Lonchura striata: one gene and its partners. The protein of the gene in region 2 interacts with the protein of the main gene of each other region in a biochemical or structural test. Links are inferred from orthologs where the notes say so. Each region holds a gene or a part of one and is shown on either strand. Other genes may lie near its edges. The genes, in order: ERBIN, SMAD2 and ZFYVE9.

The links.
Region 1: the proteins of SMAD2 (region 2) and ERBIN form a complex in vitro, tested with the Homo sapiens proteins (2 studies listed by BioGRID). The link is inferred for Lonchura striata from reciprocal best matches to the Homo sapiens genes SMAD2 and ERBIN.
Region 3: the proteins of SMAD2 (region 2) and ZFYVE9 are reported together in a solved structure, tested with the Homo sapiens proteins (2 studies listed by BioGRID and IntAct, with this or other methods). The link is inferred for Lonchura striata from reciprocal best matches to the Homo sapiens genes SMAD2 and ZFYVE9.

Annotation. Positions count from the first base shown.
Region 1 is NC_134642.1:27,979,480-27,986,636, reverse strand, and holds the start of ERBIN (erbin), read left to right. Parts: upstream 1-4,141; 5' UTR 4,142-4,257; intron 4,258-4,454; exon of another isoform or gene 4,455-4,606; 5' UTR 4,607-4,687; intron 4,688-4,849; 5' UTR 4,850-5,103; intron 5,104-7,157. UniProt on the Homo sapiens protein: Acts as an adapter for the receptor ERBB2, in epithelia. By binding the unphosphorylated 'Tyr-1248' of receptor ERBB2, it may contribute to stabilize this unphosphorylated state.
Region 2 is NC_134642.1:2,222,607-2,230,223, forward strand, and holds the start of SMAD2 (mothers against decapentaplegic homolog 2), read left to right. Parts: upstream 1-4,611; 5' UTR 4,612-4,739; intron 4,740-7,617. UniProt on the Homo sapiens protein: Receptor-regulated SMAD (R-SMAD) that is an intracellular signal transducer and transcriptional modulator activated by TGF-beta (transforming growth factor) and activin type 1 receptor kinases.
Region 3 is NC_134611.1:9,886,147-9,894,146, reverse strand, and holds the start of ZFYVE9 (zinc finger FYVE domain-containing protein 9), read left to right. Parts: upstream 1-4,905; 5' UTR 4,906-4,944; intron 4,945-6,194; exon of another isoform or gene 6,195-6,323; intron 6,324-7,013; exon of another isoform or gene 7,014-7,031; intron 7,032-8,000. UniProt on the Homo sapiens protein: Early endosomal protein that functions to recruit SMAD2/SMAD3 to intracellular membranes and to the TGF-beta receptor.

The DNA of each region.
Region 1 (7,157 bases), about 26 Mb from region 2:
TGGTAAAGCATTATTTTAGGATTTCTATTTGGACAAACAACCTCAACAGCATTTATTGCTACCCTTCTAGGATTCAAGAACATAGCAAAGGTAGTCCAAAACTACCATCAGTGCATAGGCAACATACTGAGAACATGATTTATTTTAGGCAACTTTGCAGTTGGCTCTTTCTGCCAACTTCATCTGTAACTCTTTGTCTTAAACTAGTCAGCAAAGAATTTTTGGCTATGATCTACAGATGCCAGTGTTCTCACATAGTATGGCTTCATTTTCATTCCTTTCTCTTTGTTTTCACCAGCACAAGATTTATGTGGTGGCATCAGCTGTCAAAACAGACCCTTAGGCTAAGAGGCTACAGCATAGCTTAAAATCAGTGTTAACAGACTGGGCAGGAGCAAAGCAGTCCAAATCAGGAAAGCGTAGAAGTACCTTAACACCACCTTTTTGTCCTTGCTCCTTCACATGAAATGCTCCTCTATGTCCCAAATGTTCCTCAGAAATCACCAGCTCTCCCATGCTAACCAAGGAAGATAAAAACAAGCAAAAAGTAACAGTATAATGCTTAAAAATAATTCTAAAATGTTCCTAATAATTTCTAGAACACAGCATAAAAAACATAGGTTGTGGTGTTACCAAGGTTTTCTATTGGTACTTGCATAATAATTCATCACTTTGATTATACTGTTTGAGAAACAAAGCAACCAAATACAGAAAAAAACTTATTTGTATGGTGTATTTAGCCAGTGCACATTTGGGATTGTAGTGAAGTTAGACTGAACAGAAGTTGTTTACTTAGCTTCTCTTTAAATATAGTAAAAATGCATTATGTATGTAGAAGTTATAGCAATACACTTCTAAGACTTAATTGCCACTGAATTATACCAGTTTTGTGTTAATTTCACCAGCATAAATGTGGTGTCATCCAGCTGTGAACCACGTAAATTCAGAAAATGCTACAGTAAGATATTTTGGCAAATTTAAATTATGGAATATTTAAAATAAACTTCAATATATACTTGTTAAAGAAAAAGAATTACTTATTGCCTCTTCGTGTCTTTAATGTGGTTATTACTTCCACTAATTATTATTTAATATTTGTATTGCAGTCATGCCCAGAAGTTCCACTTCAAATCGATTTGAAATCCACCATTCAAGTCATTACCTGAGCATTTAATAAGCAGAAGTGCTTACCCCAGAGGCCTTTCAATCTATTTCCTAGAAAAGTGGAAACATGCAATCATAATGAACAACAGTAGTAAGAATAGGGGAAAGCAGCAATTAAACCCTGTCACTCAGAAGAAACTATGTAGTAATTGTTCAGACCACTTAACTCCTGAGAGAGAAACATACAGGTGACTGTTTCACCAAATGTTCTTTTGATTTAGCTGCAAGTTGTTGCAGTATTTACTAGTGCTCCTTTCAAATATAAAAATAGAAATTAAAATGAGAGGAGTTTGGGCTTCATGTCCAGCATGAAAGTGTGTATACAGGAGTTGTTTAAATGTTCAGTGGGATCAGATGCAGAGTCTCACTTGAAAGACTCATTTTGTAACTTTGTGCACCTACTCTGTAATTATTTGGTAACTGGGATACCAACTGTGGGAATTAATATTGCTGGGGACTCTGTTTTGATATTTATAGCACATTTAGATCCCTAGGATAACTCCTGGTATTTTCTTAATTTGTACATATAGTTATATCTTGTCTATGCAAAATATCTTCAGTAGCTGTGCTCCAGCTAGCTGTAGTTTCAGCAGACTTTGGAAAGGCTTTTATTTTGATGGCTAAAACTGTAAGTGAAACAGCATCTTACATTGCAACTAATGTTAACACCTATGGGAGATTCACCATCTGAGCAACAGCTACTATTCTCATACCTATCTATTATTCTACTGAATTAATAAATGCACTGGGCAATTTGCAATAAACACTTCCAAAAAATATTTTCACATTAAAAAGTTGTGATAATTCACATAAGAAAGTACCTTGAAGAGTTCATGATGGAGGGCATCAGTTGCAGAGAGCTAGTCACATTATGGTAAGGATATGTTATGTGGTGCATGACAGGAATGATCAATCATTTGCAAGAGATTTAAAAAATTAATAGTTTTATTATAGACACAATGTAGGGTACCACTGCAGGGCACTGTAGTGAGAAATTCTAAATCTGTTGTCAGTGGGGGTAAAGTTCTCTTGCTTGGACTTAGTCCAAAGCTGACTCATTTGAAGAAAATGGCTTTTCTGAACAAGAAGAAATAGAAGCGATTTAATGTTTTGGAAAATATCTATATATACACATACAATTCTCTTTTTTATAAACTCTGATGACTACATTTGATTTAGTTTAATTATTTAAATTTAGGCAGAGATGTAGTCCCCAAAGTAGGGCTGTATGCTCTGTGAAGGTGGAGAAAAGTAAAGAAACGGTAAGTGAGTATTATTATCATAGTAGGAATGCATGCTTATTTTTTGGATCTGGATACAAGCTGGATACTTGAACGTACAATTCCCATATATAGGCAAGAAGTTTAAAATTAATAACTATTGTTGAACACAATGTCTTAAACACAGTGGACTTTCATAAAAATGTGATCATCTTTATGTTTTGTTGCTAAAGGTTAAACCCTTCATTCAAAACCCTGTAAGAAAATAGATGAAGCAAAGAACGATCCTGAACAGGAAGTATCAATTTGAGTTACTGTCAAGGACTGGTAGGGGTGTAAAGGACTTTTCTCATCTAGTCCTATGTTAAAATCAGGGACAGGTCAATAGTAACATGACAAAGCATTTCCCTTGCTGTTCAATGGCTCATATAACACTTCTTAGCATTTTGCCAATTTCTCAGTAAACCGATTATCATCATAAAACACTACTCCATCTTAGTTGGTGGCAGTCCCAGTAGAGTAGCCAGGGATTAAATTAGTGTGAAAACAAAACTACCCCTCTCCTCAGATTTGGTCTCTGCTGAGCACAATTAAGGAGCATAAGGTGAGCAGCATGCACAATTCCACCCTGCTGTCAGCTTCATGTGCTCTGTTATGGCTGAACAGAACTCCAGGCTCCAGGACACTTAAAATGGCATATTGCATACACAATAGGTTATCAAATACCCATTTCGAACAATCCAGGAAATTAAAAAGAAACTCACTGCTTCTGTTCAGATCACACCTGTACTACTGCAATCCAAACCCAACCAATACCAAAGCCGTGTGATCTGTGTACTGCCTGCTTTTCAAACATGACTCTTGTCAGTCAACACGCATTTTCAGTACCGTTGTAACGTACTGACAGTGTTGAAATATTTGGAAGAAAAAGTACAGCAGTGTTCCAGGGTTTACGTGAAACATTGTGACAATATGGGCGGCATTATTTTAATTGTTGTTGTTTGTATCCAAGTTTAACGTACCATACCCAAACACCAAAGCGTGGGTGGAGGCCGTCAGTGTTTCCCTTGGGTGTGTTCGTTCTCTCAGATCTCGGTAGCTGCGAGTCAGGCAGCACAAGGTGCGGGGGCAGGGGTCGGGTGGCCACGAAGGGGCAATGGCCAGCGCCTGATGGCGTGAGCCGGCGCCTCAGCGCTTTCTGCAGAGGGTGTGCAACCATTAAATTACGGAGCTGAGCTGCTAACGAGGAAACTTCCGTCACTCAGGTGTGAATTTGTCAGTGCGACTGACGCTCTGCCGCAAAACCACACTGGGACAGGCCCCACACCGGGCAGCAGCGGGTGGAGCCATTCCGCGGCGGCGAAACGCAGCCCCCGCCCGGCGCCGCTGCCGCCCGCCCCCGCCCCGCCGCGTTCCTGCGCAGCCCGCCCCGCGGGCCCCATTGGCCGCAGCGCCCGTCCCTCACGGCCTTCCCCAGCCCGGCGCGGTCCGCCCGTCCCTCCTCCCGCCCGCCACAGCAGCGCGGGCGCGCCCGCCGCTCCCGCTCCCGCCCGGTCCCGCTCCCGCTCCCGCCCCCGCCAGGTCTCGGCCCGGCTCCGCGCCCGCCCCGCCCCCCGTGCCGCGGCAGTGCCTCCCCCGTCTGGCCAGCGCTGCGCGGCGCCGGCAGCAGCAGCGGCGCGGCGGCTTCGCCCGCGGCCACCTCCCCTTCCCCCCGCCGCGTGTCTGCCCGGGACGTTCATTCCCTCTTCCCACAGCTCCGCCGCCTCCCCCGGCCCCCCGCTGCCGAGGCCGGGGAGGGGGGCGGGAGGCTGAAGCCGCGGGAGAAGGGGGAAGTGTGCGAGAGAAGGCGGGGAGCGCGGGCGGCGGCGGGCAGGTGAGGCAGGCGCCATCCCGCTTCCCTTCAGCCCTCGGCGGTGGCGGCCGCGCTCGGGCAGCGCGATCCCGGGCGCGCAGCCGGCGGCGAGCGGCGGCGCCCATGGCGGCGAGGGGCGGCGGCCGCGCCGGGCCGCGCCGGGCCGCGCCGGGCGGTGGGGGCGCTGCGGTGTCGCCGCCGGGCGGGGCCGGCGCGACGTGGGGCCGGCCGCGGGGAGACCGGCGGGGCGGGAGGAGCCCGGCTGCTCTGGAGCCCTCTCCCCGTGCGCACGAACTCCCTCGTCCTCGGCGAAAGCTGCTAATATTCCTTCTCCTCCTCTCCCCGTTCTCTGCCCTCTTTCTCCGTGAAGAAGGAAACTCGATTGGATTTAACTTGGGGTCGGAAGAAACTCCTGCCTCCTGGATCTGGTTTCGGCGCCCCGACACCTAAGGTAAATAGGGAAGGCTTGGGATCAGCAGCAACAAAAACAACAGAAAAATCCTTCCTCTGGGAAGGGGGTGGAGAAAAAAGCAAGGAGTTCAGGCTTCGTTTTATATCCTGTTTTTGGCCTTTATATTTTGTCTCTGTTTTCCGCCTTGGCCTGCCCTGTTAGCTGCTCATTGTGTTTCTCACCGTCTCGCCTGAACGTGTGAACCGAGGCGCTGGTTTCATGGAGGCCGGGAAAGAGTGTGAGACCGAAAGTTTTTAATCTCATCGGACACAGAAGTTTCTTTGTTCGGTCCGAGAAGGCACTGAGCTGAAACTGCTCGACTGCGTAACTGCTTCTTCAGCTCCCTCCCTTGCAAAACGTTTGGTAACCCTGCGAGTACAATTAAGTTATCGGGAAATGAGAAAGTCATGAAGGAGGTAATATTTCTTTTTAATCGAAAGCTCTTGATGCTTCGTGCTTATGTCTGAGTTGTTTTCTAGAATATCGGTTAGTGGCTGGCCGGACTTCTTCAGGGTTGCTGTTGAGTTTCTTTATAAAAATACGCCCTCCTGGTCATCCGTAAATGTCGCAGTTTTTCCACCTTCGATTGCTGCAGTCACCCGTCTTCTTCCCCTTTACCCTTTCTGTTCTCAAATCGACGAGTTGGACTGCTTATTTTTCAGTTTGTGCAGTGGAGGTCTATCCTGCATTTTGATCCTGGCAAAGTTCATCTTAAGGACCTTCATTTAAAACAAAATACAGAACAAAACCAAAGCAGATAGCTAGTTGTCTGACTTCTTTAAAATGCATGCAATTGGAGCTGTTAATGTAGCCTTGTTGATTTTGGTGACCACTTTCACCTTTCTAATTTTTGAAAGAACTAATTTTTGAAGCTGTTGAAGAGGAAATTAAATGCGAAGTTTTAGTGTAAGATTTTGTACCTCTAGTGCTTGTTATACCAACTAACTAGATGCACGTTTATTTTTCATGCATCAAAGCGACAATTATAGGTTAGTTCTTTCGTGGAGGCAAGGAGTTTCTCATATTGTGAATGTTTAGAACAAGGTAGAAACCGTAGCTCTGGAACGTTTGTTTCTGTTTGTCAAACTCAGAAGCAACATGTTGGTCAGATAGGATGTGTATGCTTCAGTCTTGCCAATGTGTGACATGTACTGGTATTTGGGAGTCTTGGACAAAGTAATTTCTGTGCAAAATTTTTAACACTCCTACATAGGTAGGAGTATCGTTCTTTAACATTGTGAGTAATTTAGTGCTTTAAGAAAAAATAATCCAACTCCTTCTGGTTGGTATAGTGTAAGAAAAAATGTTAACATATAAATGTCTAAAGTGGGTTCAGTGGTTGATAACTAATAAATTATTTGACTTGCAATTTATAGACTTACCTTTCCAGGCAGCAGTAAGGGTTATTCTTAGGCATCAGAAAGATCTGGACAAAATAAGTGGCAGTGAACTTTGCTTTCCTTATGTGGCTGATGCTTGGCAGAAAGTCTGAATAGAGTAATCCTTTTACAAAGAACCATCCCTTTCTAGAGCAGTGTTTCAGTCCCAATAATGACTTGAGATTCTTGAGGGGAGGGTGAGGAGTTGTAGCAGTGCATGACAAATTTAGTTGTAAACCAGTATGTTCATAATCAAGGCAATTTTGTTTCTTTTCAGGCCTTTTGTGTCTCTCATGATGCACTTGATATTTTTCAATGCTGTGTAGAAGAATGGTTCCTTGTAGTGGAGGCACAACTTCTTACGCTAGTGTTTTGTCACCATGGTAGCTATGGATAAGGCCCTTTTTAATGACGAAAGTGTGATTCAGTTCTGCTTACAGCTCACGCTTATATCATTGAATGCCATTATGGCATTAACATAATTTGGGAGTAACATGAAGGGATGTGTTCTTTCTTGAGGTCAATGATCGCAACTAAAAATCAGTCTGACATTGATATTCTTATTATGAACAAAATTATTTAACCTTACACATAGTAGCTCATGTGCTTGAAACAGCACTTTTATAGCTATGCGTTGATGGCTTGGGGAAATGTTCTTTTGACCTGACCGGTTCTTATTCATGAATTAAATTAAGCTTGAGTAAACATCAGTAATTTTAGGAAGGAATGCTTGCAATCAAAGAGATAGAATTTGCAGTATATGGCATACTATGGAATGCGATTATCATTAAGATGATAATTATATTAGTAAAATATGAATAGATTTGTCTTATGCATAAGCTGCACAGTTGATAATACTTAGTGTAAGCATAAAGCTCTGTAGGGTATCAATTTGCACATCATGTTCATATAGAATGGATAAGGGGGCTCTGTGGAGAAAATACTAAAGGACAGTTTCTTAATATATTAAGTCGGTGGTCTCAGAAAACTGTGTTATGATTTGTTCTTGGCGGAATTTGTTGAGAGTCTTTACTCGTAGTCATTAAGAGCCATGCTTGGAAGATCAAAGCTAAGGAAAGCCTTGCACATGT
Region 2 (7,617 bases):
CAGTGCCTGACCCTTCAGATCCCCTCATGAGGAAGCTGCAGACCAGGGTGAGGATTACCCCAGTCATACATTTTTATCTGCCTTGAACTGATCTTTCTGTATCATAACTCAGCTCAAAGTTCTTCAATTTTTTTTTTCAGTTTAACACATCATTTTGACATGTTGGTAATAATGACCTCAACATAAAAACTATCTACTCTGCCTCCAAGACCTTTCTTGATGGCATTGCACTTTGCACTTGTTTCTACCTCTGCTACTGTTGGGCCATTCAAAAATCCCAGGTGTCTTTGAAGTTACCTGATATTGATGTTGTAGTTCCTTTGGTCACAGGCTTTGGGATGTCACCATGTATGCACTATAGCACAGCACTGCCAGCTACTGCTTCATCATGTTTTTTCAGGTCCTAGGTTTAATTCATACAATCACAGAATGGTTTGGGTTTGAAGGGACCTTGCAGATCATCTTATTCCACAGGCAGGACACCTTCCACTAGACCAAGCTGCTCAACCTCCTTTGTTCCTTTTAGCAGACAGATGACAGATACCATGGAGCTGTTGTCCCTGCACATGAAGATCCTTTGAGAGGATGTTGAAACTCTCACACACATTCAGAGAGACCCTAAGAGAGATGCTCATGTTCTTGCACTGCAGCCTCAAGTCCAAATGGGACTGACAGCCTTTTGTCCAAAATGTGCTGAGCTACCTGGTTTGAGAAATGTGTGGACCTGGAGTGAGTCCAGAGGATGCTACGGAGAAGCTCCCAGGGCTGAAGCCCCTCTGCTCTGGACCAAGCCTGGGAGAGCTGGGGATGCTCACCTGGAGAAGGGAAGGCTCCAGGGAGACCTCACTGAGGGCTTATAAAAAGACAGAGAGCAACTTTTTACACAGAAGACAGTGAAAGGGCAAGTGGAAATGGTTTTAAACTACAAAATGGAAAGACTTAAGAAAGATTTTAGGAAGAAATTCTTGCCTTCAGGGTGAGATCCTGGCACAGGTTGCCCAGAGAAGCTGTGACTACCCCTGGATCCCTGGGAGTATCCAAGGCCAGGCTGGACAGGGCTTGGAGGAACCTGGGATAGTGGAAAGTGTCCCTACCCATGACAGGGGAGTGGAATGAGATGAACTTCCAGCCTTCCAGTCTTCCAGCCTTCCAACCGAAACCACTCTAGAATTCTGTGATTAATTAATAAGACATAACAATATCCAGCTTTGGTGTCAGTGATGGAGTTTTGCTATTTGTTTTACTAAATCAAGTATTATTTCATGGAATTATAAAATAGTTTGGGTTTGGATTTGGATGAGACTTTTAAAGGTCGTCCAGTCTAACTCCCCTGCCAAAGACAGGGATATCTTCAATGAGATCAGGTGTCTGAAACCCCTGTCAAACCTGACCTTGAGTGTTCCCAGGGATGCAGCATCCACCAGCTCTCTGGCCAATCTGTGCCAGTGTTTCATCACCCTCATCAAAAAAAACCCAATCTTTCTAATTCCCAATCTAAATCAATGCTCTTCCTGGAGGTGTAGGCATACAGCTAGGAGCTCTTTCTAGAGCATACGCACATCCTGCCTGCCTGCCTTCTCCACAGCCACCCTGCTTCTGAAGCAACTTCTGGGCTCTGGGATTTAAAGCCGTGATGCTGCCTTCTTCCATTGGCTGTCTTCCTGCTGCTGCTTGCAATTTTATTTCCTAGAGAAAGGTTTATGCAAATGTTGGATTTTTGTGTGTGTGTGTATGTCAGAATCCCCCAGCATAAGCTGGCCAACCTTTTGACTGATTTCAACCACACCTGAAAGAGAAGTAGAGCTTCTGGAAACACAAAGCCTGTCAAGCTTCATGGCAAACAGCAGCTATATTAGAGAAGACACATGTTGTTAAGTGCTCTGCTGGGGAGAAAGGCAGGGAGAGCTCAGCCCTTATCAGCACTGCTTGGCTTCCTTGGCAGTAGATAAGGGGCAGGCAGCTGGCCAGCCAGAGCACACACATCCCTGAACCAGGTACAGCATGTGCTGCTCCAGAAAGAAGGCAAACACCAATAAGTTGTGTAGTAGGGAGGCTTGGATGTATCAGGAATCAACCTTGGAGATAGGAGGAGAGAGAGCTATGAATCTGTTGCAGAGGAGAGGTGAAGGGAATGTCTGACGCAAATCCATATGAAAATTGAGCTTAATTAAATTACTCTTCATAAAAAAAAAAAATCTCTCTGAATGCAGCAAAACCTCCACAAAGCAAGTGCAATGCTAGCTGAATAGTCTGTATATGTTTCCAGGCACAACATTACTGGGACACCTTATCTTCCAAAAACATGATGGCAAGCTCTCAGATGCTCTGCTTTCTCTGCAGAGGGGATCTTCTCCACTTCACTGTTGATTTCATGACCAGCTTGAATCTCAAACGTTTGGGGCTGGCTGAAAATGCTACCAAAAAAATAAGCCACGTTTGCTTCAAGCTGGGAGAATCCAGGCACAGAAGAGGCAAGAGGGGGATTTCTGTGAATCCACATTCTGTAGAAGGGCTAAATATTCTGAGGTGATTCACCTTGCTCCTGGGAATACCAGCCTTGTGGAGATGGGACCTGTGCCCTAGACACAGAATCATAACACCTACACCACTGAGTGCAGAAACCTTTTCAGTCTAGAAGATGAGCATGACTCTGGAGAGACAAAGTTAGGGAGATGTGACCTCAGGTGTAAAGGAAGTGGCTTGAAGTGAAGATAGATGATATATACTAAAGTATCAAAAAGACAAAAGCAAAAAAAACAGAGTACCTCCAACAGACTTATAGCAAATCTGGAACAGACCTTCTCATCCCCAAAAAACCCCATTAAAATCCCACCTTGTGGCTTCCCACTCATAAAATCATACAATGTTAAGGGGTTGGAAGTAACCTTAGTGTTCTTCTAGTCGTGACCCCCACTGCCATGTGTAGGAACACCTTCCACTAGACAGGTTGCCCCAAGCCCCGTCCAACCTGGCTTTGAGCACTTCCAGGGTTGGAGAATCCATTACCTCCTTGGACAACATGTCCCAGTGTCCCTCCACCCTCATAGCAAAGAATTTCTTTCTAAGATCTAGCCTAAAGATCCCCTCTTTTAATTTCTACCCATTCCCCCTTGTCCTGTCATTGCAGTTCCTGACAGAGAGTTCTTCTCTGTCTTCCTGGTGGGCCCTTTAGGATACTGGAAGGTTCTGTGAGGTCTCCACAAACTTGTCTTTCCCAGGATGAACAGCTCCAGGGAATCTGCTGGGCATCACTGCAAGGCACAACAGAGCCCCATGGGTTTCACAGACAGGTCCCCAAACATGCACTGCCAGGTAACAGGCTCTGATTTCCTTATGGTGACCCTGGGCCCCTGCTGGGGCACAGGAATTTGGTTACTTTTCACCATTACCTCAACACAAGTGGTCCAAGCATTGCAAAGACTCTTGAAGGCAGTAGCTAAAAAAACCCCCCTAACATATGGGGGGGGTTAAGAGTTTGTGAGCTTGGGGGGCAGGCAGCAGAGGGAGGCTGGGCAGGCTTTGGGGCTGCCTTGTGTCCGTGTCACACCTGGGGACAGCCACCCTGGAGCTCTTGTGCCATTGCGGGGCTGTGGGCAGTTGGAATCTATTTAGAACCACAAAATCGTTTAGGCTGGAGAAGCCCACCAAGACCTGAGTCCAGCTGTGACACCAGCACTGCCATGGCCACTGCTGATCCCTGTCCCCAAGTGCCACATCCAATGGCTTTTAAATCCCTGCAGGGATGGGGACTCCATCATTGCCTTGGGCAGGTGTGCCAGGGCAGCACAGCCCTTTCCATGAAGGAATTTTCCCAATATCCAACCTCAACTTCACCTGAGCCATTCCCTCTCCTCCTGTCCCTGTTCCTGGAGCAGAGCTGTCCCCATGGCTGTCCCCTCCTGTCAGGAGCTGTGCAGAGCCACAAGGTCCCCCTGAGCCTCCTTTTCTCCAGGCTCAGCCCCTTCCCAGCTCCCTCAGCCGCTCCTGGGGCTCAGTCCCTTCCCAGCTCCGTTCCCTGCCCTGGACACGCTGCAGCCCCTCAGTGTCTCTCTTGTCCTGAGGGGCCAGAGCTGTCCCCAGCACTGGAGGTGTCTCAGCAGTGCCAGCACAGGGACGGGCACTGCCCTGGGGCTGTGTCACACCCTGGCTGGGACAGCCCAGGGGTCACTGCCCACCGCTGCAGAGCCCAGCCGGAGCTCAGCGGCAATTCCCGCCGGGAATCCACGCACTCTTTCTCAGCTCCCGTCGCGCCCGCCGCGGAAGGATACGGAGCGGGGACAGAGCCGCACTGCGGCTGCGCTGCTGCGGCTCAGCCAAACCTCCGCTCAGCCTCCCGCGGCGGGCGCGCGCGCCGTGACTGACAGCCGACCCAACCAATCAGCGCTGCGGCCACGGCCCGCCTCCCTCCGCCTCACGCCTGTTTCTCCCACTCCCCTTCCCTTGTCTTATTTTTTTTTTAACGTTGCGGGCACTCCATTGGCGATCCTGACTGCCAGTTAGATCTCTGGACCAATCACAGTGCGGCTGCTTAGAGAGAAGGTAAATGCGGCCAATGGGCGGCCTCCCCGCCCAGCGGCGGGGGCGGGGCGTTGCGGGGGGCGGGCCCTCAGAGGAGGTAACGCTGAGGGAAGAGGCGGCGGCCGCACCGCACTCGGGGAGACGGAGGAGGATAAGGAAGGGGAGAGGAGGAAGAAGGAGGGCAAGGAGCGGTGGCTCTCGGCGGATCCTGGTGGCTCCCGGTGCGTGCTGGTGGATGCCGGGCCCGGGGTCCTTGCCCCCTGGGCAGGGTCGCCCCGCTGGCGCTGCGCGGGCCGTGAGGAACCGTCCGGGCCTGGTCCCGGCGGGGCCGGGGGCGCCTCCCTACGCCCTCGCCCTTTTTGTTGTGGTGGGACCCGGGCTAGGTTATCCTGCTCCCGCCGGCATTGCCCCCGAGCTGTGCTGGGAGGGCCGCGCTGTGTGTGTGTGTCTGTGTGTGTGTGTGGGTGAGGGGAGGGAGGAATAAAGAAGTTGTGCTCCTTCTCTCCCCCGCTGCCTCCCGTCGTGCCCGGTGTGTTTTCCTTGCAGGGGTCCGCCGAATATGCCGAGCTGGAAGGCATCCCGCGAGGATCATCGCGTCCAGCTCGTAGCGCTGCACAGGACACCCCTGTGTGCCTCCTGGACATGCAGGCAGGGTTAGGTGTGCGGCACTCCCTGGAGTTTTGGAGAAGAAAGTTGGGAGCGGTGTGGGGCGAGGAGTTGTGTTTTGGAGCTAGGAGTTTGTGTTTGGGACTGCGAGGCTTCACCTCACCCTTTTGTCTGTCCCCTCTCCTCGTCTGCAGAGCCGCGGGTGTAAGAGACACACAGCAGCCCACGTGAGACAGGACTTGAGATCACTGGTTTTATTCCTGCCTTTAAAGCTGTGTGTTGTCAGAGGGCAGAGGCAGGTGGGGTTCTGGGGAGAAATTCCTGAGAGGGCAGCGAGGTGCTGACACAGGTTCCCAGAGGAGCTGTGGCAACTCCATCCCTGGGTGTTGTTTGTAAACACACACAACCTGGTAATGTCTCATCTCTCGATAAGTGCACTGAGGAAGCTGTGTCGTGATAAGGGCAAGTGGTTGGTGTTGTTGCTGCAGAGTTGTGGAGTTCCTGTTTGTAGGGGTTTTTTCTTTTTTTTTTTTTTTTTCGTTTTGTGCAGAGTGGAGGGGAAGAGAAGTGCAATACAGCATGGTCTTCTAGTGTTCACTCTGGGGAAATAAAAGAACGGAAAAAAGCGTGTGAATGAATGAAGAGCTCTTGTGATGATTGTGGAGAGCTGTTGAGCAGCTGGGATTCAGGCTGCAGGCTGGTCTTGTGTCTCTCTGGTTGTCCGTCACAGTTTCTGACTGAGAGAAACCCAACACGTGTATTATGCTCTTTGCAAATGCTTGCGAGCGGGATAGCATTAGGAAAGAGTTTATTTACAGGGTTTGCCAAAATGAGTGTCTCCAAAAACCTTTGTGTATTGTGTGTGGAGCTCATGCTCTCACAGTCCAGGGGTATAAACGGGTTAGATTCCATCAGCAGCGAGAGGTTTATAATAGCAGCTTGTTAGGAGACCGCAGGTAGCAGCAGGTTTGTCTTTTCTCAAGTGTTGTGTCTTAGCCTGGAGAGCTGTACTTTCAAACTGATTCATGACATTACTTCTGTGGGGCCTGGCCTCTGCAGCGAGGCACTGATTAGCTGTTGCTCTGTTCTCCAGGCTGGAAAAGAAACACCCTCTGCTTGAGGTGAGAGGCCAGCAGAGCGAGGTTGCTTGTTTAGATTTTCTCATGCTTTGTCGAGGTGTTGGTGCGTGAGTGGGTTGTTTGTGTGCTCGTTCTGAGGCACAGCTTTCAAACTTCTAACGTTTACAAGCTCTGGCGAATTCGGGGGGGATGAGAGTGTGAGTAAAGGAGGTGTTTGTGAAGTCCCTTCCCCCCTTTGCTTAGCACTGTCATGATGAAAGATAACATTAGTTACAAATGCTTTTAAGAAGTGGAAGGGGAGGGTCTTGTTTAAGGTGGTTTCCACTTTAAGATGAGTCTGAGCATCTGTTGAACAGCATATTGGGGTGTTGAAAAGAGTAGCCTGGCAGCTGATTGTTGTTCTGCAGTTGTATGGGTCAGATACACAGTCAACAAAAGGAGTATGTTTGAAGATCCAGTTTTCTTTACTGAAGAGGCTGGATATGCATGATAGAGCCTTGGAGAAGAATTCATCAGCTATCCTGAGGTTCTGTTTAACAGTGAAAGGAAGAAAACAACTCAGACAATTGAAAAAATGAGGTTAAAGAATTGGTCTCTGTGCTGTTTTCTTGTTTCCTTCCACCCAGCAGCTAGATTCACCAAAATCAAATACCCTGGAATTACACAGTGAATCTCCAAATGAAAGGTTCTCCCTGGGTCCTCCTCCCTCTTCCCGTTCCACTTGATCTTTCAGAAGTCTTGAGCACCAGTTGATACAATTGAGTTTATTTGAGCTCAAAAAACCCTGCCTGCTACTGAGGGCAACTTTAAAAAACAAACCTTGTTTCCATCTCTCTAATCCCTTTCCCACAAAAGTACTGGGAGAACAGGCTTTGTGGTATGTTCTGGGTGACAATGAATCTGAGCTCTCTTGAGGCTGAAGCAAATTCCTAAGTTTTGTTTGTATAAAGAACAGTACGCAAAGTTTTAATTATTATAAAAAGTATTCCACAGTTTTCAAATGTATTCAGTGCTGCCTTAATGGTTGTGCATGTAAATGTCCTGTAATTGAAAGCATCCATTTATGGGCCTGACTTGCTAAGTGAGCTGTAAATTCTGCTTTTCAGATTGGATTTAATGACTTTTATCATAAAGCCATAAACTGGTTGTGAACTGTGCCGAGAGGCAAACAATACCTAAGCTTACTTTGCCAAAATATTTGTAATTGTTGATTTGTTAAAATGAATTGCTGCAGGTCATGCGATGGGATTAGGTTTTTGTAATAGAATGGAGAGTACAGGCAGCCTGTGCTCAATACTCTCTGGGCTAGAAGAAATTGGCTACTGCAGAAAACCTTCCTAAACATTCCTCTCCATTTCCAGTGACAGAAACTCCGTTGCAAACTGTAAGCCTTCATTCCAGATCACATTTTACT
Region 3 (8,000 bases), on a different chromosome or scaffold from region 2:
CCTTATGAAGTTTGTTGTAATAATCTAAAATGGGTGCCAGAGGGAAAGACAAAAAATTGAGATGTCCTTTAAGTCCAAAGCCCTTTCTCAAGCTCCCATAGAGGTTTAAAACAGATACAGACAGATCTCTTAGAGCCTCCAGGCCAGTGTTTGGCGTATGGACAGAAAAGCTATGGATGTTCAAGATTTAGCCAGCACAGACAGTAAAGAAGTTTTAACCCTTTCAAATGCATAACCTATTGAGTTTACTGTTGAAAAGGATTGTAATATTTTTTCCTTTTTTTCTTTTTCCTTTTTTTTTTTTTTTTTTTTTTTTTTTTTTTTTAACTCCTAAGGATACATGGCACATTTAAAATTTAAACTTGACAAAATAAGAATAGGTATTCAGCATGGAATGACTCTAAACTGACTCACACAATGAGATGGTGACCTAGCAGGCCTTTTTCCTTCCAAGAGATTAAGACCTATCTGGTGGAAAATGCATCATAGATTAATTAAGTGCCCATGTATTAGTGGCTTTATCGTATGACTCACTAATACTGAGCTAACCTTAATATAGGATTCTGAGAATCTTAAGCCAAGGATTTTATTGATTTACATTGTTCTAGTGCAGGTAGTACTTGAGTTTAATGGATGAAGACTGCACAGAATTTAGAAAAATCAAAGATTCAAGACTGATGAGGTAATCAAAACGTATTGAGACAGAAACCACCGGAGCTGGGCCAGTCTCTCAGCCACTAGAGGGCAAAGCCACAGCACTGCAGTCGGCAGCGCCGTCTGCTCGCCTCTTTCTAAGGATGTTATCAGCGAGGGCGTTTATTTTACAACAAAAACTGATTAAATGATCACTAAGCCCTTCACTACGAACGGCGTTAGGAATGAATACTTAGAGTATTGTTTCTGTCAAAGTGTGGCAGGCAAGCAGTTATTAGCAACTGCGCAGAAAAAAAGCCAACATTTTCTTCCATGGAACTGTGAATAAAAGCTTCAGTCACTCAAGAGGTTTGGACTCTTAGGCTCACAGCACAGCCCTTTCCTACTCGAGATTTTGCATATCAGTAGAAGGCTGAGCACTTTTATCAGGAACTATGTTGGGAAAGTAATTAACATTTTGCTGCAAAGTTTTCTAGTTTTTTGACGGTACCAGATCAGACTGAGATTTCGGAATGTTTCAATAACAGAGTTTGGATACATCAGAGCCTTACGTGCAATCCCCTACCCAAGTCAGCCTTTGACCTTCTAATATCAAGAATTCTTGTTCTCTCTACTGGTTCTTGCCCTCTCCTGTGCAATGCATGTTTCAAGCACCTATTCTCTGCTCACACTAAATTTCCCACTGCACTTTTCAGAGATCAGGTGTGGGTCAGCTTTGGGTGGACCTGAGAGACTGCTTTGCACAAGATCAATGTGCTGTCTGTGACAGTGGCCAGAAGCAGATGCTAGAGGAAGAGTTTAGTAGCAGGAAAATCATATAGGCACACATATCAGGAGTATCCTCCCAGCTTCCAGCAATGCATGTCTCAGGCTTCCTGAGTGAGAAAAGTTATCTTGGTATGCAATATGCTACAAAGGCTTTGCCTTCTGTGAACAAGTCCACCCTTCTCTTCAACCATTGTAAACACTGCCTTCCCCACGGCTGCTCCCATCATGTGCTGAACAGCACATGAGCTGTGTCAGATGATGCTGAAAGGGATGACAGGTTGTTACTTCTTAGTGCCCTAGGAAATCAACTTCTGCATAGACAAGCAGCCAGAATTCACAGCTATAGACACAGAGTTCTACCTCCCGGGGAGCAGACTTACAGGACTGAACTCCTGCTTCTGTTAAAATTAAGTTTTTACAACCTCCTGATTTTGACATTCCCAGTGCTGGGAAATCCAGCTTGTCCCATCCTAAACTGTCCTGGTTATTAATTACCTTCCCTGGTAGAAGACCTCACAGGAAGATGAATACATCTGCATACACTCACTGAATCTTGAAGGTCCTTAAAATGTGTGATTGAGTCACCCCTATATCTTCTTTATTGACACTGAAATAGGTTGAACCTTTTCATTTTCAGTCTAAATCATTCTTATTGATCTTCTCTGAACCATCTCTTTTTCAGCTTCTATTAAGGAATTAAGGAGTTTAGGTATCAGGAGCAGTTGGATTAGTACCAGAAAAATAAATAGAGATATCTTTCTATATTCTCCTGTTTATAAGCCCAAGGATTGCATTATCCTCTTGGCTACAGCATCACACCACCTGCTTATTTTCTCCTGATTATATGTGATGATTCTTGAGGTTTTTGAGCATTAACTTATAAAAGCACAAATTCTCTCATCCTAAAATCACTCCCTCTATTCCTTGATGCATGTTTTTACATTTGGCTGTACAGAAATGCACATTACTTGCTATCAAGCTGTCTCAGCTACTTTGCAGCATGACTTGTTATTTATTAATCCCTATTGCTTACAACACTTGCAAACTCTTTAAGTGATGATTTTATGTTTTTCTTAAAACTATTAATATCAATACAATGCAGTGTAGAACTAATTGCCATAGGATGCAGAAACACATTCTTTGATGATGGCTTTTTATTTTCCCATTTTGTAACTGTCAGTTAGTTAGAGTCTCAACAGTTCAATAAGTGCTGTGATGAGTCGGTAGCATTTTGGCTTCTTAATTAAAATGCTGCAAGTTACCAGAACAAAGATTTTGCAGACCTACTTACCTTCATCAACCAAACTTGTAATGCCATTTAAAAAATAAAATTATTTTCACAAGATTTATTTTCCACATTAATTTGTAGTTATTGTGTTTCCACTCTTTAATTCTTTTTCAATCAAGTAATGTAGATAATGTCCCATTTTATTACCCAGAATTCTTGTCAGTCTGGCAGGTTGTAATTACCTTGGTCACCTTGTTTACCCTTTAAAAATATTGGTACAATATTTCATCCAGTCCTCTGGAACTTTAACAGTGTTCCAAGATTTATTGAAAATCAACATTAATGGTCTAAAGATACTCTGTGCCAGTGCTTTTAAAACTGTTGGATGCAAGTTACCTGGACCTGCTGATAGCCAACTTCATTAGCTTCTGTTTAACATCCTCCTCAGTGCTTGTTGTAATGGAATGTATTTCATCATCATATGATATTTGTGTATCATATGGCTCTTCCCCAAAAAACAGACCAGGAATAGTTATTGAGTTCTTCTGCCTTTCCTACACTGTTGTTAACTGTTCCACTATTTCTGCCTAGGAACAGAGTGAAGACAGTATGAAACTTCCTTTTCTCCAGGTTTCTGCAAGTTTTACCACATAGTTTAAAAATCCTCTTATTTGTCCTTAACTCTGCAGTTCAAAGATTACTCTGGCATAATTTTGAATTCCCTGGAACTCCTAGATCCCAGAGTACACACATTGTTACATACATCTTTGTATTGACCCTGTAACTCTGTGCTACTCCCTGCAACCAGGGCACCTCAGAGGTTCCCTTCACCTTTCTAAGTGTGGACCTCTTTCCCCCTTTCCCATCCCCTGCCTTTTGCAAATTGGAGTATCCTCTTCTCTCCTTTATGCCTTTCTCATAAAGAGCTGGGAAAAATACTTGGGAAAAGAGGTGGCAAGCTCAATAGTAAGGTGTCCCGTGGGATAGTATCAGGCACCATTTCTTATGACAGTGCTGTGGAGGCCCACAGACATGGAAGAGCTGCAGATCCATTTTGGAGAGTTTGTAACTCGGACTCTTGTGCCAAGTGAAAGGTCATGGTCCATGGTCTTACAGCCTTGCTGTGGCTTGGGATTAAAATTATTCCTTTGGTTTGTTCACAGTGTTTCTCACTATCAATATTGAAATGTTTCTTCTTCTAGCAGAGGGAGCACATTGAGAACACAGGATGGGCAATTTCCCTGCTCTAAGCTCAGGTGTCTGGCACCACAACTGCCTGGAGCAGCTCCTGGAGTTTGTGGAGTTTGCTGCTTCTCTAGATACATCTTCATTAGGAACAAGTCATGAGGCATCCAAGCTACCCAGGGGGAATGGGGAATGAGACCATCACCTTAACTCACAGAAATTATTCCCATTGCTCCTAACTCCTGTTTTGCATGCTTTCATGCTTTGCCTTCTTGCAAAACAGCCAGTTATGATACCCTTCAGGAAAAACCTCTCTGTTTTTGGTGAGAAGATATCCCAGTAAATGGCTGTATCCAGAGGAATAAAAGCAGAAAAAAATTATGGTAGCAATATGCCTCCGTGAGGTAGATCACAGATGGCAAAGCTATGCACTTGCATGCATTTGGCCAGAGGTTATGGAGTGTTATGCCACTCACTCTTTAATTAATTTCCCTTTTTTTGTCAGGCATATTGTATGTTTATCAGTCTGAGGTGCTTCATGAGAACCATTTTGAGGACAGTAATGGTGTATTGCACCAATCTGAACCCCTCATCTGTGCTTCACAAGCATGACAACACTAATTGCTAAAGAGATAGCAAGTTGGGGTTAACCAGGAATGCTTTATGGGAGTAAATAAATTCCATCTCCATTAACATGCTACTTCCAGCTATGATGGATGAGCATTTTTTATCTCCTCAGCTATTTGCCCATGGATTGATGATTCAGTTGATTGGGAGTATCTCATATTTTTCGCTTGAAAAGCACATAGTTCCACCAGAATCAATGAATAAACATTAAGTGCCTCCCTTTCATTTCAAGCAGGATGGGCTGATGCTCTTGGAGCAAGGAGGCCTAGTTTTTATCACCGGGGCTCATTACACTGAGTTCACTGACATATGTGGCAAGTTTATGGAGAAGCCCAACCTGCTGGAAAGTGATGGGCTTCCTGTAAGTGTGAAGAAGAGGGAATGGCCCTGCAACTGCATTAGCAGCCAGCACACTCACCTTTCCCTCCTTCCTGGGCTGACATGGCACTGCTGCAGCCGGGGGATCACGGACCTGCACAAAGGTGAGGGGACAGCGACTCCTTCCCATTCCCCTGGCACCAAGCGAACCTTTCCTGAGGGGGAACCGAGGTGATGGTTTCCTGAGGCGAGGGGTGGGGTGTTCCTGAGGTGAGGGCTTCCTGAGGAGGGCGATGAGGGGTTCCTGAGGCGAGGGGCGAGGGTTCGTGAGGCGCTGGGCGCTCGCTCGCCCGGCTGAGGCTGAGGCGGCGGTGAGGGCGCGTTGTGCCGCTCCGCAGCCCGGCGCCGCTCCGCAGCCCGGAGCCGGCCCGCAGCCCGGAGCCGCTCCGCAGCCCGGAGCCGCTCCGCAGCCCGGCGCCGCTCCGCAGCCCGGAGCCGGCCCGCAGCCCGGCGCCGGCCGCTCGCCGCCCGCCCCGCGCCCGCCGGGCCGCGGCACACTCGGGGAGTGACATTTCCTGGAGTTCCGAGCGCCCGCAGCAGCGAAGAGTCCCGCTGCCGGCATGGGCGGCCGCCTCCTGTTGGAGAGAGAACGGGCGGGACTCCGGGCGCAGTGTCACGCTTTGGCACTGTCGGCTCGCTATATCGCGGCTCCTGTGGGGAGCGAGCGGGGTTGTTGGTTGTTGTGCGGTTGGTTGTTTTTGTTTTTTTTCTTTCTTTTTTAATTTGTTGTGTTTATATTTTTATTTTATTTTATTTTATTTTTATTTTATTTTTATTTTTTAATTTCTGGAAGCCTCTTTGCTGAGGACTGAACGTGTCTGCCAGCGGACGGCTCCGGGCCTCGCACCTCTCGGGGCAGCCGAGGGCGTCCCGCAGGATGGTGTCCCTCTCCGATTGTGGAGACACTCAACATGAAATGGCGAAATAACACATGTTCGGCTCCCAGCTGCGAGTTCTTCTGACCAGGTTTCGTGGAGCGATCACACTACACACATTGCAGCGGCTGCCCGGAGGCGCGTCCCTCGGTCCCTCGGCCGCAGGGCACCGGCAGCGCCCGGTAGCGGCGGTGGGTGCCCGGTGCCGCCTCGGCCTCTGTGCGTGTGTGTGGCTGTGTGGCTGCGGAAGCCGCGGCCTCGGCGAGTCCCCGCGGGGACAGAGCGGGCGGCTGCTCCCGCTGTGCGGCCGCTGCGGGGGTGCCGGTGAGGACCCCGGGCCCGGTGCGGAGGTGCGGGCGCGGACCCCGCGGCGCGGGGCGGGGGCGCGGCCGCTGCGCGCCGCCTCCCCGGCGGTGCCGCAGTGCCGTGCGCTGCCGCCGGGCCCGGGCAGGGGGCGCTGCTGCCGGGCGCTGCGGCGGCCTTGGCCGCGGAGGCAGCGAGCGAGCCCGGCTGGCGGCGGCGAGGGCGCGCCGGCCCCCAGCGCTCCCGGGCGGACCCGGGAGATCCCCCTCGCCATGCAGACCCGGCGGCGCCTGCTGCCTCTCGAGGTGAGTGAGCGGCGTCCGGCGCGTCTCCCGCGGGCCCGGAAGGCCGGGGTACCCCGCTCCCCAGGCCCCCCGCCGCCCGCAGCGAGGCCCCGCGGGCGGGCGGGCGGGGAGGGCTCCGGCGCATCGGTGGAGCCGCCGTATCGCCGACAGCGCCCTGGGCCTGCCGGCTCCGGGCGCCCCCTGCCCCGCCACCCTCGTCCTCGGCACGCCACCAAGGGGAAGGCAGCGGTCGCCCCCCAGCCCTCCCCGGCGGCCGCCGTGGTCCTTCGAGCCCTCTCCCCGCCGTTCCCCCTCCGTCCCCGGGCGTCCGGACTTGGTGACCCGCTCGCCCGGGGCACCTTTCTCCCCGCGCCGGCGATCCCGGGGATGGGGAAGGAGCTGCTGCTCCCCCCGGGACGCCTCGGGTGCCGGCGCGGGGCAGGGCGAGGTTGTGCCCGGGCAGCCGCGGCTGCCGGCCCGGGCAGGGGAGGATCCCTGTTTGCATCTCGTGCCCTTTTTATGGCCTGATCTCCGCTCTCTCCCCGGGCAGGGAATGTTACTTGCTCATCGCGATGTGTAACAAGTCACTCCTGCAATGGTGGTAGTGGTGGAGGGGGATGGGGAGAGCGGGCGGGATGCGTTTTATAACATCTCTAATTACGTGAAATTGTGGTCATGTCTCACTCTAAGAATAACTGGCACTCTTGGCATGTCAGACTTTTTGCAGAGGTAGGCTAGTTTCTTGCTCATAAATGTTATGGCTAAATATGTGCCTGTGGCAGAGTGTGGCTCAATAAATGTTTTTATCTTCTTAACCAGATAGAGAAGCAAGTAGCAGATAGAAATTGTTAGACTTTATGTTTTCTTGTAAACGATCTTCTTTATTTATAGACAGGATGTTCCTTATTATTTTATGACAGAGGTTTTTCAGAGGGTGGCATTTTTACACATATTTTCATTCCGTTCAGATATTAAAAGTTAACTGAGTTTCATCAATCTTCTATTAAGTGTCTCAGATTAGAATTTCTGAATAACCCTCTCTTCAGTTTTTGGGTCCAGACTGAACTCAAACCTGGAAGGAACCGTGTAAAAACAAATAAAATAGTAATAATGAAAAAGATGGTCTACCTGAATAAAAGCCTTTCTTTTCTTTGGGCAGCATTTAACTGACTAGGCAAGGCTTTAAAACATTGTGATTAACTTCTATTAGCAAATAATTTTTGATTGCATGGAACAAACTCAGATTTTAGATACACCTTCAGTGGCTGAAACATCCAAATCCTTTGTTACTGCTTGAACCTTCTGTGTGCTTTTTATAAAGTTACGGCATGTGATGCAAAATGAGAAGATCAGTCTCCTTGACCCAAGAGAGACAAATTTAAAAATCTCTTCAGAAGTTTGGGGAATCTGAAATGGAAGCTGAAGAAGGGTCTAAAATTTCAAACAAGCCTCCCCCTCTAATTGAAGCCCTGATCAGCCCTGAACAAGTTGCCATGTTCTGACACACTGTGATTTATTTGCATTGCTTTATGGTGCCTCCTTTAGTGTGTGAGAAAGGAAGAAACCCACCCCAAAACTGCCATGCTGACTCCTGATATTGGGTGTTATTTTTGTGTGTTAGCTTTGAGTCAGTTACGAGGCTGGGGATTAAATACTTTCAAACACACACTCATTTCAGGATCTGAGGCCTGGGGCTAA